Linked DNA regions of Caenorhabditis elegans. The protein of the gene in region 2 purifies or fractionates together with the protein of the main gene of each other region. This does not show direct contact. Each region holds a gene or a part of one and is shown on either strand. Other genes may lie near its edges.

Region 1 (4,923 bases), on a different chromosome or scaffold from region 2:
ATTTCGTCATTGGTTAGTATTAGAATTGAAAAAATAACGAAATAATTGGGAAATTTAAAAAAATTCCCCTCACGTTTCATAGTCCCTAAATCTGAGAGTTCTCGCCGCCAATGGTTGAATATCGTGTTCCAAAGAGTCTTGTACAGCTGTCCGAATACTACTATTCCACATAATATCACAATCATTAATTCGATGATAACTGATAATTGAATGAGTTATTCGTTGCTCCCGTGTATCCCAAATCATTGTAAATATCTCGTTGTCCAGCGAGATGACGTCATCGGTGAAGTTTCGCATCGCAACTCCGTCCACTGACTTTTCTTCGATTAATCGGGGAATCCATTGGTTAGAGTTGGTGGTGACTGGGTCGACGAGAAGTTTTGGAAGTGAGAATTTACTAAAAAAAAGAATTAAAATTAGAATAATTCTGTAGACATCCACAAATCACCTGTTTTTCAGTCGATGAAAACTTGAAAGTTTATAATCGTCTACTTTATCCTCCTTCTTTTCAAAGTCAATTAGAACACCATCAGCTCCTGAACATCGATTTTTTATATATCGATCACTGGGAAAGAATCTGAAATCACTGATATAATAGAGACATTGCATTGTTGACATACCTTGTCAGTCGAACTCGAATCAACGATCTGATCTTCATTTTTTGTGTTAGTTGGTTAGTCGTTAGTAGATTATAAATTCGGTAATAAATTTATAGTGGTAGAAATTAATGAGAATTATATCCACGAATCCGCGTGTACTGCGGAAATATTCATTTTATATTTATAAAAAATGTTACAAGTGAGATCAAATTTTTTTTTAATGTATCATAGAAGAGAAGCGCCAAATCAATAGAATGCTGCACATTTTACCGCATCCAATCGTTCCATTTTCTGAATTTGAAATAATTATTCATAGCTCCATAACGGTTGAGTAACGTGAATGATAATTCTGTTTTAAATTATTAAGACTAATTCCCCTATTTGAATTCCCTCCAAAATAAGAACTGCAAGACTAGCGATTTGATTTGAGCAATTTGCATCGCCTACTTTCCAACCAATCAAATTAAGTGTGCGAAGTTCGAAGTCGCCTACCTACCATATACTTCCCATCGGGTCTCTTAACAATCATTGGCTTGAACGAAACTTCTCTACAAACTCTCGTTGGTGGCGACAGAAACCGTCTTGTCATTTTGCCACGTAGCAATAGATCCGCCAATGCTTCAGGAATCTGATTTGATTTCAGTGCTTCTGATGGAATACTTCCAAAGCATCGATGAAATGCCTGTGGGACTCCATCAATGTCTTCGAATTGGAACTTCCATAGACAACATGGTTGTTCTCTGAATTTTAAAAAAATGATTATGATTAATGATTGAGTATAAGTTCCTGAGCCAGTTGGGCAACCTACATTCCAAGAGAAGGATCGCACTCCTTTCCAAATGTGATCCTTGGAAGTATGGACTTTGTGTCAAGGATTGCTCGAGCATCCAGATTCCGTGGTAGAAGATATCGATTGTTCCAAAAATCATCGAGAACCACTAGAATCTCTCTGATCCTAGACCTCTCATTATATGAATTTACGATAGAAGTTGTCCGAAATCTGGCATTTTCTCCCCAATCCATCGGTTTTGTTTCAATTGGGTGAATTTTTAGAAACGTCTCACCTGAATCAAGAGGATGTGATGAAGATCTTAAATCTCTGCAGTTCACCTTCATAACATACGTACATCAGTGGAGACCTACTTCCAGGGTCTCTGAACCATCGATCAGGAATATGAATTGTTAAACTGAACACGTGGGTTACTGTAGTTATATTTATATTTCTCACTTAACAACAGGAATCGGTATCTGTTTGATAGGGTTGAAGTGTATTCCATCTCGAAAATGAATCGGAACATGGAAGAATTGTTTCCTGGCTAGAGATCCACAAAAGTTCGAGACGTTGTCACCGGTAATCCGATCTCCGAGAAGAACAATCTGTAAGAGGTCTCATCTGGGAGAAGCTTATTTCAGTAGTTACCTTCTGTTCAGACTCTGCGATTCCTTGACTATAATAGTCGATCCCTTCAAGATTCTGATGAATTGCATCCGAAAATGCTTCTTTAACAACTTCGTGCAAATGAAAACGTAATTCGTTTTGATCATCATACTGAAACTTCGGAAAGATTTTAAGTATTACCCCGATCCAAATGTTTCGAATTAAAGTTATAAATACGGTACCCGGTTTCGACACGATTTTTGTCAAACTCGAGGAAACTACAGTAGTCCTTAAAGGCGCATACTAATAGCGCAAAATCTCAACCTTCGCTTACCAACTTACCCGCACACCTTCCTTTCTCTGCGAATCAATAATAAAATTCGAAATCGGCGTCATCATTCTATAACCAGTACAATGAATAATCAAACTAAATAGAAAGGCAGCTTGAAACATTTCTTTAATCTTCTCGCAACGAAATGTGCTCCGGCTCTCCAGGCTTATCAGTGTTAGAAGAGAAGAGAAGGATAAAACAACAATAAAAACAGTTTTCATTTGTCTCGTTTCTTGCTTCTTCCCCCACGATCTGCTGATCTGAAAATGCATTCTTTCAGTATGAAACGAGTTGTTGCGTCATCATCAGTAGCTGCTGTAGCAACATGTGACGTGGAAGGTACTGTAGTTGCCTGGAGACGTGACGTGGAATTAATTCGAAAAATGAGAAAGGATATGATTGCACCTGTGGATACGATGGGATGTCATAAGCTTGCAGATCCTTTGGCAGCTCCGCCGGTCTGTGTGGCTCTGGGATTCATTAACAAGACGCAGCGATTTTTGAGCCAGAAGTACGGTATTCGGTCTTGACATGATAAATTTTCGCTAAATGCAAAAAGGTGTGCGCCTTTAAATAGTACTGTAATTCAAAACTTTAGCTGCTATCAAATTTTAATCGATTTTTCATACATCAAATTTGAATAAAAACTGAAAAATCGATGAAAATCCCGCATCAACGACAGTTTGACATTACAGTACTCTTTGAAGGCGCACGCCTTTTAGCATTTGACAAAAATTTGTCGTGTCAAGCTTGTCTTGATCAAGACCGGGTACCGTATATTAAAATTCGCAACGCTTTGCGTCTGAGTGATATCTGATTTTTTTAAAAATAAAATCTGCGAGTTCCAGGTTCATCGATTTCAAGTTCTTGTTGCCCTGATGCTTTCCAGTCAAACCAGAGATGAAGTCAATGCGGCGGCGATGAAAGTTCGAAAAATATAAATTTTGATTTCAAGCATTTTTTATATTTACAGAGACTCAAGGATCATGGCTTGTCAATCGGGAAAATTCTCGAATTCAAAGTACCAGACTTGGAGACGATTTTGTGTCCTGTTGGATTTTATAAAGTACGGTAACTCGAAATTTAAAATGCAAAAAGGTGTGCGCCTTCAAAGAGTACTGTAGTTTCAGAATTTGCGGAATTTTTATTGTTTTTTTTTCGGTTTTTTTTTTTCAATAAAATTGTTTACAATCAAGGGAAAACTGAAAAATCGATGAAAATTCCGCAGCAACGAGAGTTTGAAATTACAGTACTCTTTAAATACGCACATCTTTTTGTATTTACCAGAAATTGTCGTTTCGAGACCGGGTACTGTATTTTTGGTGTAAAATTTCGCATCTTGGTAATAATCTAAACATTTTCTTTCCAGAGAAAGGCCGTGTACCTTCAAAAGACTGCAAAAATTCTGAAAGATGATTTTTCTGGCGATATCCCTGATTCCCTGGACGGACTGTGCGCACTGCCAGGAGTTGGCCCAAAAATGGCGAATCTCGTCATGCAAATTGCTTGGGGAGAATGTGTGGGAATTGCAGTCGACACACATGTTCACAGAATTTCTAATCGACTCGGTAAATATTTTTTAATTTCATTTTAAAAATGAATTTTTGAATTTCTAGGCTGGATCAAGACCAGCACCCCAGAAAAGACACAAAAAGCGCTTGAAATTCTACTTCCAAAGTCGGAATGGCAACCAATTAATCATCTTCTCGTTGGATTCGGTCAGATGCAATGCCAACCAGTTCGTCCGAAATGTGGAACTTGTCTCTGTAGATTTACGTGCCCCAGTTCCACAGCTAAAAATGTGAAGAGCGAGACTGAAGAGGTTTATACCTTTTTATAAATAAAAGACAAGCGGATTTTTTTTCAGACTTCCACAAGTATCGAGGTTAAACAAGAAGTTGAGGATGAATTTGAAGATGAAAAACCTGCGAAAAAGATTAAGAAAACCAGAAAAACTAGAACCAAGATTGAAGTGAAAACTGAATCGGAAACGTAGCAAAGCAAGTGTCAAGCAGAAAATCGATAACTGATCTCTAACATACATTATACATGAATGAATAAATTAATGTTTTTATTTAAATAAAACTGGCAATTCATCTGGTTTCCTATGTTTCATGAAACACAGAAGATCCAATAAATCCATTATATAAATATTGATGCACTTTGCGCGTCATATTCACTGTCTGTACGTGAGCGTGTTTGCGGAATGTGAGGCGCGGGCGCCAAAAATTTTCAAATTTGAATCGCATCGTTTTACCGCATTCTGTTTTATTTCCATATTTTCATCCTTTTTCTATTGTTTTTTCTTGTTTTCTTCATAATTTTTTTTCATTTTGAAGAAGAAAACTGAGTTTTCCTTCTCAAAACATAATACTGATTGTCATATCCTTGTTTCAATGGTTTAAAATTTCAGTAATCCACTAACACCAATATGTCTAACCTCGACAACCCCGGAATCTACTATCAGGAACGATTCTTTGCGAATGACGGAGTTCCAGATACTGGAAGAGAGTTGATCGCTGAATATCGTCAGCTTATCACTCAATTCCGCAATTTTATCCGTGATTTTTCCACTGGAGGCTTCGGAATGATTTACAGGTTTGTGCAATTACTCT
Region 2 (4,583 bases):
TCGATTACACTCTCACCGTAGAAGAATGATCGATGACCGTCGTTGACAGCGAAAATCTGCATAAATTTTGTAAGTTTATTCTCATTTAAAAGTTTATTCAGGTTTTTTGTGAAAGCTTGACCAATATTTTTACCTCATCAAAGCACGTTTCGGAGATTCTGAACAGCGCTAGTCCTTCCTTCGGGTGCCGCAGTTTGATGATTCGGCTATTTGGCAAATTGCCCTCTGAAAACAAAAACATTCATTTTTGAAATTAAATAAAGGAAATCACCTTTGGAAATGACAACTTTTCTCGAATAACTCTCATCGGATTCTGGTAATTTTGCAGGTTTAGTTTCTTCTAAAATCTCTTCAACAGCCTCTTCCTCGACGTCTTCTTTTTTTGTTTTTCTAGTTTTTGGTGGCATTCTTGTTCTGAAACTGATTTATTACAATTTGTAATTGATCTAAACTTATGGAAAATAGTTCGAAATTCGTCAAAAAACGAGAACAATGAGATAGAAAATAAACAGGCATATGTTTTTCAGTCATTTTTAAATGTGAATATTTACACCGATGAGCCAAGGGAAAAAACGAGTTTAATTCAGGAAAATTCAAAAGGGAAAAAAGAAATAAATAAATTATTCTTTAACTAAATTGTTTCTAATTAGAATCACAGAATCTGCTAGACAAAAAATGAACTTGGGAAACATTCTGATGAAAGGGAAATCGAGAAATCATATTGATATTATTAAAAAACGTTTTAGTCAGAATGAATTGTGGGAACTGGGAACAGGCATTTCAAAAACTACAGAAAATAATTGCATCCATTTCTTCACATTTTTCCAGCTCTTGCCATCTGCTGCATCATATTTTGAAGGCCTCCCATACCACCCATCTGCTGCAACACACGTGGATCCATCATTTTTGCCATTTGTTGATTCAATTGAGCCATTTTCGCTGGATTCATATTTTTTGGGTTTATATCACCGTTTTTGCCCTGCAAAATGAATTCATTAGAAATAATTATTGAAATTACAAAATTTCAATTTGTCGAATAGGAACAAAACTTTACATTGAAGAGTCCTTTAATTGATCCAATCTTCTTAACAACATCAGAGAATTTCTTGTACTGAGCGAGAAGATCTCGAACTTCTTGTTGATGAGATCCCGATCCTCTGGCAACTCTGGCAACTCTATTTGGTTCTTTTGTAAAGAGCTCAGATGCTTTTGGATGATCCAATTCCTTATCACTCATAGAATCCATCACAGTCATCATTCTCTTCAGCCTGTTGACGGATTCTTGCTCGTTTCCCTTTGTCATAAATTCTGATCCAAAACCAGGAATCATACCCTGAAATAAATAAGTATTCAGGTATCGTTATAAAACATTGAAACGAACCATAATTTGACTGAAAGGTCCCATTTTCATAATGTTTTGGAATTGCTCATACATGTCGCGAAGAGTGAATTGTCCTGGAAATGTTCTTTTCAGTTTTTGAAATTTTTGAAATCAAATTTACCTTGTTTCAGTCTTCCCACCAATTCTTTATTATCCTGAATTCCAATATCATTGACCATATCAACAAGGCCAGCAATATCTCCCATTCCTAGAAGCTTTTGAACAAATGATTTTGGCTTGAAAATCTCAAAGTCATCAATATGTTCTCCTGTTCCGATGAAGATTACTGGGGATTTGGTGACAGCGACACTGAAAAAAGTATTTGAGCAATTTCAAAACGATAAAGGATCTCGAAGTAAAAACTCACGCAGAAAGAGCTCCTCCTCCTTTAGCATGAGAATCCAACTTTGTAATGATAACACTGGCAACATCAACAGTTTGAGAGAAAGCACGTGCTTGGGCTTCACAAGCTTGTCCAATAGAAGCATCCATCACAAAAACAACATTATCTGGTGTAACTGCGTTGGAAACTTGGAGCATTTCTTCGAAAAGTGAAGCTTCTTGCTTGTGACGACCTGATGTATCAACAATGATGATTTCGAACCCTTCTTGCTGCAAAACAAATATTATTAAACCATTTTTCTGTGATAAATTACCGTGAATTTTTCTACTCCTTCGGCGGCAATTTTTACGGGGTCAATTTCAGAGTATGATCCATAGAAGGGAATACGAGCTTTTGTGGCATTTTGCTTTAATTGATCAAAAGCTCCAGCACGGAATGTATCGGCACAGATCAGACATGTTTTCCATCCTTTTCTTTGGTAGTAATACGCCATCTGAACTTGAAAAGTGTTGAAAAGTTGTTGGAAGTTTACTAATTAAAAAATATAATGTTTGATGGTGTGTGAGCTTTCTATTGTAATTCATGGAACGAACCTTGGTACAAGTCGTAGTTTTACCGGAACCTTGAAGACCAACAAACATGAAAACGTTGCGACGTCCTTTTGTTGGTGTGAAAGGAGTTACACCAGGATCCACAAGCTTCAGCAGTTCATTGAATACTGTCTTCTGAATGTACCGACGTTTGTTTGCTCCTCCGACGATCTCTTCGAAATTAATCGCTTTTCTGAAAATATTTATTAAATTTAAATCTTAAATAGCGTAAAAATTTACTTCACGTTGTCCTTAAGTTGCTTTACAAGACGAATATGAACATCAGATTCAATAAGAGCTGTACAGACTTCTTTCAGCATCAAATCCAGCTCCCCCTCATTGATAACGGTGCTCTGACCGAGCTTTCCGATCGCATTTCGGATTTTCCGCCCCAAATCGGCCAAAACCATTTTGAACTGAAATTTGAAATGCTTTAATTTGTTTAAGCATAGAATTAAACGCGTTTTAAATCGAGAGCACCATAAAAACAGTTTGGAGAAAAATCGATAATTCTTGTAGGAGATTCAGTCCCTGTGGTTTTCTTCGGCTTCCTAATCATTTTTTGACGACATAGTGGTATTTCACAATAGGTTTTTTCAAGACACAACAGATTTTTCACAAAGAGTAGAGAAGAAATGGAAAACTGTAGATTTCTTCTCGAAGAGCCGAGAAAGGCAAGGTATTGGAAGTTTAAAAAGGTAATGTTTCTTTATTCTTTTTTCAAAACAATAATAAATGGAAAATATATATTTATAGATAACAATTTCAGACAGTTAAAATCACGTGAAAAATTCAAATTTCAACACAAAAATTGACGAGTGGAACCCCGTTGTTGCGCCTTGAAGAGTAACGCTTGCGCGTTTGACGATTTTATTGACGCGTTTCTGGTGCATGCGGGAAATTTTTTATTTTCAACTTTTTTCCTGTTTGTTTATCCTTTTTTAATTGAATTCTCATGATTTGAAAGCTTTGAAAAATATTATTTTGCTCAAAAACATGCGTTTTGTAAAACATTGATTAGATTCAAGGCAATTAATGGATTTTTGCACGTTCCAAAAAAAAGGAAATTCATTTTTTGAAAATTTTGATAATTTAATAATGAAAAATGTTCCATAGATTTATTCAATGCCATCCTTCTCTATAATCTCGAACTTCCGCATCCTTCAACTGTGGTAGAGGTATTTGCAATACCATATAGTCGTAATAATAAACTTTAGTGAACAAATCCAAGACATCAGCTCTTGAGTAAATGAATGATTTATAAAAACTGCTGATTTTCTCGTAGGAAGAAAGAGAATCAGCTAATAATCCGTCGTTGTCTATTCTGTCAGGCCGCTTAAATGTTAAAAAATAAAAACGTTTTAAGCTAATTTTGTATGTCTAGAAACTCTAACTCACAAGCATTTCTGCATACGCCGGATTAGTTGGTTTTGCAAAAAGCGAGTAATCTACAAAAGTGAATTTTTGATTCATCTCTTCCATTTCACAAAACCAATTTTGTGGTACGTATTTCATATGATCTTCATCCACTTTTTTAGTTTTTGAATGTATTTGTGTGAGTTGTGTCCAGATTTGAATAAGATAACATCTCAGATCCAACTTGCAATTGAAGCAAGAACGATCTTCTCTGAAATTTTATATGACCTTAAACTTTATACTTTTGTAGTTTCGTCGATATCTGATCGTTCAGTTGTATAGGTATGTACATCTCTAGGTTTATGTGCTACACGAAAATATAATTTGTTTTACCTAACACACGCATCCATAAAATGATCTACAAATCGTTCAATTGGATCCTGTCTTGGAAATAATAATTTCCAATTCGTAAAGTTTGCATTCAACTCATTTTCTCGTTTCAAATCGTCGATATCCGCAAAATATGTTAGTGAATCACTATCACACACTCTGAAAAGCACAATATTCATATTTCGTAGTTAATAATGAACCTCACGATTCATCATTAAATTTCTCTTGGAGCCCGCATAATACTTGCTGCCCAATTAAAGTATCAGTTTCACAGATTGCAGTTCTATCATTTCCGATAGCCTCAAATAAGATTTAATCTTAAGCGAGTGTTCTGATCAATTTAAATATTTGATACTCACCGCAAGTTTCTTCGAAACTTGTTCGAAAGCTGGAATTTTAGAATATCCTTCAAAACTTTTTTCCTCGCCCTCATCAAGCCATAATAAGTTTTGATCAGCAATATATTCGAATAAATTAGTCTCTGATAAATCTCGTATCACAATCTTTTTTTCTACTCTAAAGA
Region 3 (6,158 bases), on a different chromosome or scaffold from region 2:
TTGCGTAAAGTGTTCCATGTTTGCGTACTTTTGAGGCTACAGTAACCCGGAAATTTTTATTACAACTCGAATGGAGTCGAAAAAGTCTCGTATGGGTGAAAAAACATAAAAATCCAAATTTAAAACTGATAATGCACAAAAATCAATAATTTTTTTTTGGCTCAACATTTCTGAAAATTATCATTTTTCACTGATTTTTTAAACGATTCTGACACAAAAATTGAATTCTACACAAATTTTTACCCATGTATGGCTTTTTTCGCGCATCTTTCAGGTTTCTGTGCATTTTTGCGTGAGTCGCATGGTGTTTGCGTACTTCTGAGGCTACAGTAACCCAACTTATCGATTTCAGCGCCAAAAAGGAGCCGGAAAAACCGGAATAGATGTGAAATAACGCAAAAATTCAAGATTTTCAAGAAAAAAGTAGTTTTTAGTCTAAAAATTGCTATCAAAAATTGGTCTGCCAGACTACAAACTACAAAAAGCTATTTAGCAGACCCAAGACTCTAAAATGGAGCAAAAACGGTGGCAAAAATCATCACATTTATTTATTCTTGAGGAGTTCTTTTTTTCGATAAATATACTTTCGATAGACATTAAAAAAATTGAATTTTAACAGAAAATAAATAGGAAATAATCGAATATTCGGGGGAATGTACGTAAAGCATATCATTTTTTGGGAGGAAATTGACAATTTATTTGCTTCCAACAGTGACTTTCATGGCTTCGAGGCAATTGAGAATTCCGTCCGATTCTGGATTGCTTTTTGGACTTATCTGGAATTTTTTAAGGTTATTTTTAGAAAAATCACGATTTTTTTCGAATTTTTTTTTCAAAAAATTCAAGAAAAAACAGCCGAAATTCGGCATTTTTTGGAGTTTTTAGAGCTTTTTCCAATTAAAAACTATTAATTTTATCAAAATCTACCTTCTGATAACGATTAACCAAATTATCGATTGCATCAACTGCTGCAGCTCCGGCTTTCTTCTTTTCCGTCGCATTTTTGGTGGTCGCCGCGATCAAATTGTTGCTCTGAAACATTAATATAGACTACAAACTACAAACTACAAACTACAAACTACACTTACCAATAGAATTCCGTATTGAGATCTCAAATCGGTTGGGTTGATTTTGAGCGCACGTTCGTAGTAGGAACGAGCCAATTCCACGTTTTCGGCGCCTCCCTGCAAAAAATATAGTTTGGGTCTGCCAAATATGAATATGTAGTTTGTAGTCCAGCAGACCAATTTTTTCAAAATCACATGGGTCTGCTAAATCGAAATTTGTAGTTTGTAGTCCAGCAGACCAAGTTTTTCAAAATCACTTGGGTCTGCTAAATCGAACATTGTAGTTTTTAGTCTAGCAGACCAATTTCGAATTGAAATCACTTGGGTCTGCTAAATCGAACATTGTAGTTTGTAGTCTAGCAGACCAATTTTTTTCAAAATCACTTGGGTCTGCTAAATCGAACATTGTAGTTTTTAGTCTAGCAGACCAATTTCGAATTGAAATCACTTGGGTCTGCTAAATCGAACATTGTAGTTTGTAGTTTAGCAGACCAATTTTTTTCAAAATCACTTGGGTCTGCTAAATCGAACATTGTAGTTTTTAGTCTAGCAGACCAATTTCGAATTGAAATCACTTGGGTCTGCTAAATCGAACATTGTAGTTTGTAGTCTAGCAGACCAATTTTTTTCAAAATCACTTGGGTCTGCTAAATCGAACATTGTAGTTTTTAGTCTAGCAGACCAATTTCGAATTGAAATCACTTGGGTCTGCTAAATCGAACATTGTAGTTTGTAGTCTAGCAGACCAATTTTTTTCAAAATCACTTGGGTCTGCTAAATCGAACATTGTAGTTTTTAGTCTAGCAGACCAATTTCGAATTGAAATCACTTGGGTCTGCTAAATCGAACATTGTAGTTTGTAGTCTAGCAGACCAATTTTTTTCAAAATCACTTGGGTCTGCCAAATATGAATATGTAGTTTGTAGTCTAGCAGACCGAATTTCTTCAAAATCACATGGGTCTGCTAAATCGAAATTTGTAGTTTGTAGTCCAGCAGACCAAGTTTTTCAAAATCACTTGGGTCTGCTAAATCGAACATTGTAGTTTGTAGTCTAGCAGACCAATTTTTTTCAAAATCACTTGGGTCTGCCAAATATGAATATGTAGTTTGTAGTCCAGCAGACCAATTTTTTCAAAATCACTTGGGTCTGCTAAATCGAAACTTGTAGTTTGTAGTCCAGCAGACCAAGTTTTTCAAAATCACTTGGGTCTGCTAAATCGAACATTGTAGTTTGTAGTCTAGCAGACCAATTTTTTTCAAAATCACTTGGGTCTGCTAAATCGAACATTGTAGTTTTTAGTCTAGCAGACCAATTTTTTTCAAAATCACTTGGGTCTGCTAAATCGAACATTGTAGTTTGTAGTCTAGCAGACCAATTTCGAATTGAAATCACTTGGGTCTGCTAAATCGAAACTTGTAGTTTGTAGTCCAGCAGACCAATTTTTTCAAAATCACTTGGGTCTGCTAAATCGAACATTGTACTTTGTAGTTTGCATTGTAGCAGACCGTTCAATTTTTTTTAGTTTTCCTTAAAAAAAATCAATTTTCAATCATTTTCGGTAATTTCTCTATATTTTTTAAAAATTTCTTCATTTTTTGCATTAAAATAATATATTTTCGTTGAAAATTTGTTTTTCTGACATTTTTTTGACGGAAAACTGACAATTTTCGATTTTTTTTCTTCAAAAAAAAAAGTAGAAAAACGAGAAAAAACCAATTTCCATTGAAAATGTATTTGGGTCTGCTAAATATGAATTGTAGTTTGTAGCCCCCAGCAGGCCCAAATTTCTCCAATTTTCCACACACATACTTGAGTATATCTCAAATCGGCTAATCGTCTGAAATACATGGAATTCAGCGGCGAAATGAGCACACACTCCTCCAGGCAATGTACCGCCTTTGCCACGTCATTTTCGAGCAGGAAAAGCTCGCTGAGCTGAAGCCAAGCTTCTGGGTCGTTCAGGAAAATCTGAAAATTAATAAATTTTAGAGTTTTTTTTTTCTAGAAATCAAATGAAAACCTTCAGGTAATCGTTGATAGCTCGAATTGCGTCGAGACGCTTTCCCTGAGCGAGAAGAACCGCGACTTTTCGCTTGCGGAAGCTCTGAAAATTCAAATTATTAGAAATTTTGCAAAAAAAAAATTTCCTGAATTTTTTACATTATTATTGGGCTCATCCTCAACCAGTCGCTCATAAATATCCAACGCCTTCTGATAATGTTCCGTAGATTCCAACTGCATCGCTTTCAGCTTCAAAACTCGATTACTCTTCGGAAATTGTGCGTGAAGTTGGTCAATGCAATCCTGAGCCAGATCGACACGAGCCGCGTCGAGTGCTGCGATGCACACCTGAAAAAAATTGGAAAAATTAGGTGAAAATTCGATTTTCTCGTGAAAAATGAGTATGGGTATGCTAAATCGAAGCTTGTAGTTTGTAGTCTAGCAGACCAAATCTCCTCAAAACTACATTGGTCTGCTAAATATGAATTTGTAGTTTGTAGCCTAGCAGACCAAATTTCATCGAAACCACTTGGGTCTGCTAAATATGAATTTGTAGTTTGTAGTCTAGCAGACCCAAATTATTGAATTTTTTCTCGAAAATAATCATTTTTTCAGTAAAAAATGACCGTTTTTATTGATTTTTTCCAGTTTTTCGCCGAAATTTGTATTATTTTCACTATTAATCAACCAGAAACGTGATAACTTAGAAAAAAGCGTGGGTCTGCTAAATATAATACTGTAGTTTGTAGTCTAGCAGACCAATATGCTTTTCACCAAAAAAACCAGAAAATCTATGGTTTTTTTCTATTCAAAGCCAGATTTTCAGGATTTTCAGCGTTTTTCGACAAAATTTCAGCACCTGCTCCAACACAGCCCATTGCTCGTCTCCAAGAGAAGCCGGTGAGCGTGAAATAACGTGCTCCCAAATTTCGACGACCTCATCACTTCGTCGAACTCCGCATTCTCGCCACTTTTTCAGCGCTTGACGTCCTTCTGCAAGCATTTATCGATTTTTTTTTCAAAATTTGAATATTGTAGAATGTTACCATCGTAAGAGACTTGCGTCCACTCGGTTTCAACCATTTTCGGGAGGGAAATTTCTGAAAAATATTGATTTTTTCCAACTTTTTAATGGAAAAGTTCGGTTGGAAGGTATAAAAATAGCGAGAAAACTATAAAATAAACGGTTATAGCTGGAAAAAAGGAAAAAAAACAAAATTTATTATGCGATCACGGGGGAAAAAAAATTAAAATTCAGTGGTAAAGCAATAATTGTTGACCTAATCAAAAAGAAAACTATATTCTCAATATGAGAAAAATCGGAAATGAAAAGAAAAAAACAACATAATTATTCCATTGATGGATATTTCCAGTCAGTCAATGACACCGACGTCTCCTTAATCGTCAGCGGCGAGGTCCATCGGAGCCCATAGTGGGGGCCACCGGCCTTATCATTGGTTCCGGACAATCTGGAGCCTCCGAATGGCTGCTGGCCGACGATTGATCCAGTTGATTTGTCGTTGAGGTACATGTTGCCGACGGCGTCGCGGAGAACATCGCGAGCTCTGAGAAAAAAAAACACTTTGTTGAAAAACGTTTTTAACACAAAAATTCGCCTCAAAAATCTCGAAAAATCGATCGAAATCCAACAAAAATTCCAATAAAAAATACCGTAGCCCTTTAAAGGGACACACACTTTCACTGTTGGGTCTCGCCACGCTCAGGAACATCTTACTGTCGCTTTCAAATTTTTTGTTTGTTGTTATCGCTTTTTTTTTTCGATTTTTGCCAGTTTTTCTAGCTTTTCATTTGATTTGTGACGAAATTCGAGGGTTTTTATTGGAGAAATTGTGTAATTATCGTTTTTCGACATTTTTTAACCTATTTTGTTCGGTTATAGAGAAATTTCTTGAAAATTGCCGAAAAAACAGAATTTCAAGATTTCGAATTTTCCGGGAATAATTTTAAATCGACTTTTGGCAGTTTTCTTGTGCCTAAAATGTTGAATTTCAGCATTTTTGAACATAACAAACCCGAAAATTCGAGTTTTTCTTCTTTCCGCTGGGTTTTTAGATAAAATTTTTGAGTCCCTGAAAACCTGTGCAAAAACTTGTATTTTTTGTAGTTGCCAACCTATAAAGGAACTCCTTATCCTGCGAAAAAACGGCGCCAGTCAGCCCATAAGGTGTCGCGTCTTTCACAGTCGCGAGCACCTCATCAACCTTCGAATCCTCGTAGACCAGTACCGTCACCACCGGTCCGAACATTTCCTCAGTGAGAAGCTTGCTCTTCGGATCCGTCACAGTGATCAGGGTCGGCTCGATGAAGTATCCCGTTTTGTCGTCACATTTTCCGCCGAGCACCACATTTGCTCCGTCGGCTCCGGTTTTCGCAAAGTCAATGTAGGCCTTGAGCCTGGCAAACGCCTTATCATCGATCACAGCCGACAGAAAGACGGATCCATCGCGAACCTGTAAACTACAAACTACACAAAAATCGGCAAGCCAAACAGTGGCCTACATCTCCAAGCTTGATCTCTTTGTGAATCGCCGAGATTTTCTCGAGAATCTTTGGCCAAATCGATTTTGGCGCGTACATCCTGGAGCACGCCGAGCACTTTTGTCCCGAATATTCCCAGGCGGAACGGGCGGTTCCAGCGGCGACAGCGTCCACGTGGGCGGATGGATGCACAAAGTGGAAGTTTTTTCCGCCGCATTCTCCGATGAGTTTCGGAAAAGTCACATAGTTATCCAAATTCTCGGCGACTTTTCTCCAAATCGTCTTGAAAGTTGGCACGGAGCCAGTGAAATTGACAGCGCTCAAGTGTGGAGATGCGGTGATGACGTCACCGAAAACGGGGCCATCTGATGGCAAGAATGAGAGAATTCCAGGTGGCATACCAGCTTCCTCGAGGAGTTCGTAGATTATATAATTGGAGAGCACGGCGGTGTTCGATGGCTTCCAGAGGGAGACGTTACCCTGAAAAAATTGGGATAAAAATGATTTTTTTTTCGAGGGGAAAATGGCATTAAAATCGCGAATTTCATAGATTTCTCAAAAAAAAAAGTTAAAAATTCCAAAAAAATTG

The links. Proteins that work in one complex are often made in the same cells at the same time.
Region 1: the proteins of F21D5.7 (region 2) and nth-1 fractionate together in Caenorhabditis elegans (co-fractionation; one large-scale study listed by BioGRID). This does not show direct contact.
Region 3: the proteins of F21D5.7 (region 2) and emc-2 fractionate together in Caenorhabditis elegans (co-fractionation; one large-scale study listed by BioGRID). This does not show direct contact.

Annotation. Positions count from the first base shown.
Region 1 is NC_003281.10:4,291,065-4,295,987, reverse strand, and holds nth-1 (Endonuclease III homolog), read left to right. Parts: upstream 1-1,786; 5' UTR 1,787-1,827; coding exon of another isoform or gene 1,828-1,976; 5' UTR 1,977-2,019; coding exon of another isoform or gene 2,020-2,148; 5' UTR 2,149-2,319; coding exon of another isoform or gene 2,320-2,574; coding exon 2,575-2,766; intron 2,767-3,156; coding exon 3,157-3,234; intron 3,235-3,281; coding exon 3,282-3,374; intron 3,375-3,677; coding exon 3,678-3,876; intron 3,877-3,924; coding exon 3,925-4,130; intron 4,131-4,175; coding exon 4,176-4,304; 3' UTR 4,305-4,391; downstream 4,392-4,923. Other genes in the region: R10E4.7 (GP-PDE domain-containing protein), read right to left, coding at 74-397, 449-577, 621-658; R10E4.6 (DUF1996 domain-containing protein), read right to left, coding at 846-890, 1,096-1,339, 1,408-1,663, 1,710-1,786, 1,828-1,976, 2,020-2,148, 2,320-2,580; DNA replication licensing factor mcm-5, read left to right, coding at 4,740-4,906.
Region 2 is NC_003282.8:8,740,975-8,745,557, forward strand, and holds F21D5.7 (Signal recognition particle 54 kDa protein), read right to left. Parts: upstream 2,731-4,583; 5' UTR 2,725-2,730; coding exon 2,555-2,724; intron 2,508-2,554; coding exon 2,318-2,507; intron 2,218-2,317; coding exon 2,038-2,217; intron 1,994-2,037; coding exon 1,749-1,993; intron 1,691-1,748; coding exon 1,503-1,690; intron 1,456-1,502; coding exon 1,382-1,455; intron 1,334-1,381; coding exon 1,055-1,333; intron 980-1,054; coding exon 815-979; 3' UTR 521-814; downstream 1-520. Other genes in the region: F21D5.6 (Ribonuclease H2 subunit B wHTH domain-containing protein), read right to left, coding at 1-56, 134-225, 272-407; F20C5.7 (uncharacterized protein), read right to left, coding at 3,437-3,649, 3,713-3,941, 4,064-4,219, 4,266-4,360, 4,420-4,583.
Region 3 is NC_003280.10:1,301,967-1,308,124, forward strand, and holds emc-2 (ER membrane protein complex subunit 2), read right to left. Parts: upstream 4,171-6,158; 5' UTR 4,154-4,170; coding exon 4,117-4,153; intron 4,064-4,116; coding exon 3,930-4,063; intron 3,586-3,929; exon of another isoform or gene 3,535-3,585; intron 3,419-3,534; coding exon 3,230-3,418; intron 3,174-3,229; coding exon 3,090-3,173; intron 3,038-3,089; coding exon 2,879-3,037; intron 1,185-2,878; coding exon 1,089-1,184; intron 1,033-1,088; coding exon 928-1,032; intron 777-927; coding exon 696-776; 3' UTR 533-695; downstream 1-532. Other genes in the region: alh-6 (L-glutamate gamma-semialdehyde dehydrogenase), read right to left, coding at 4,419-4,635, 5,204-5,541, 5,591-6,049.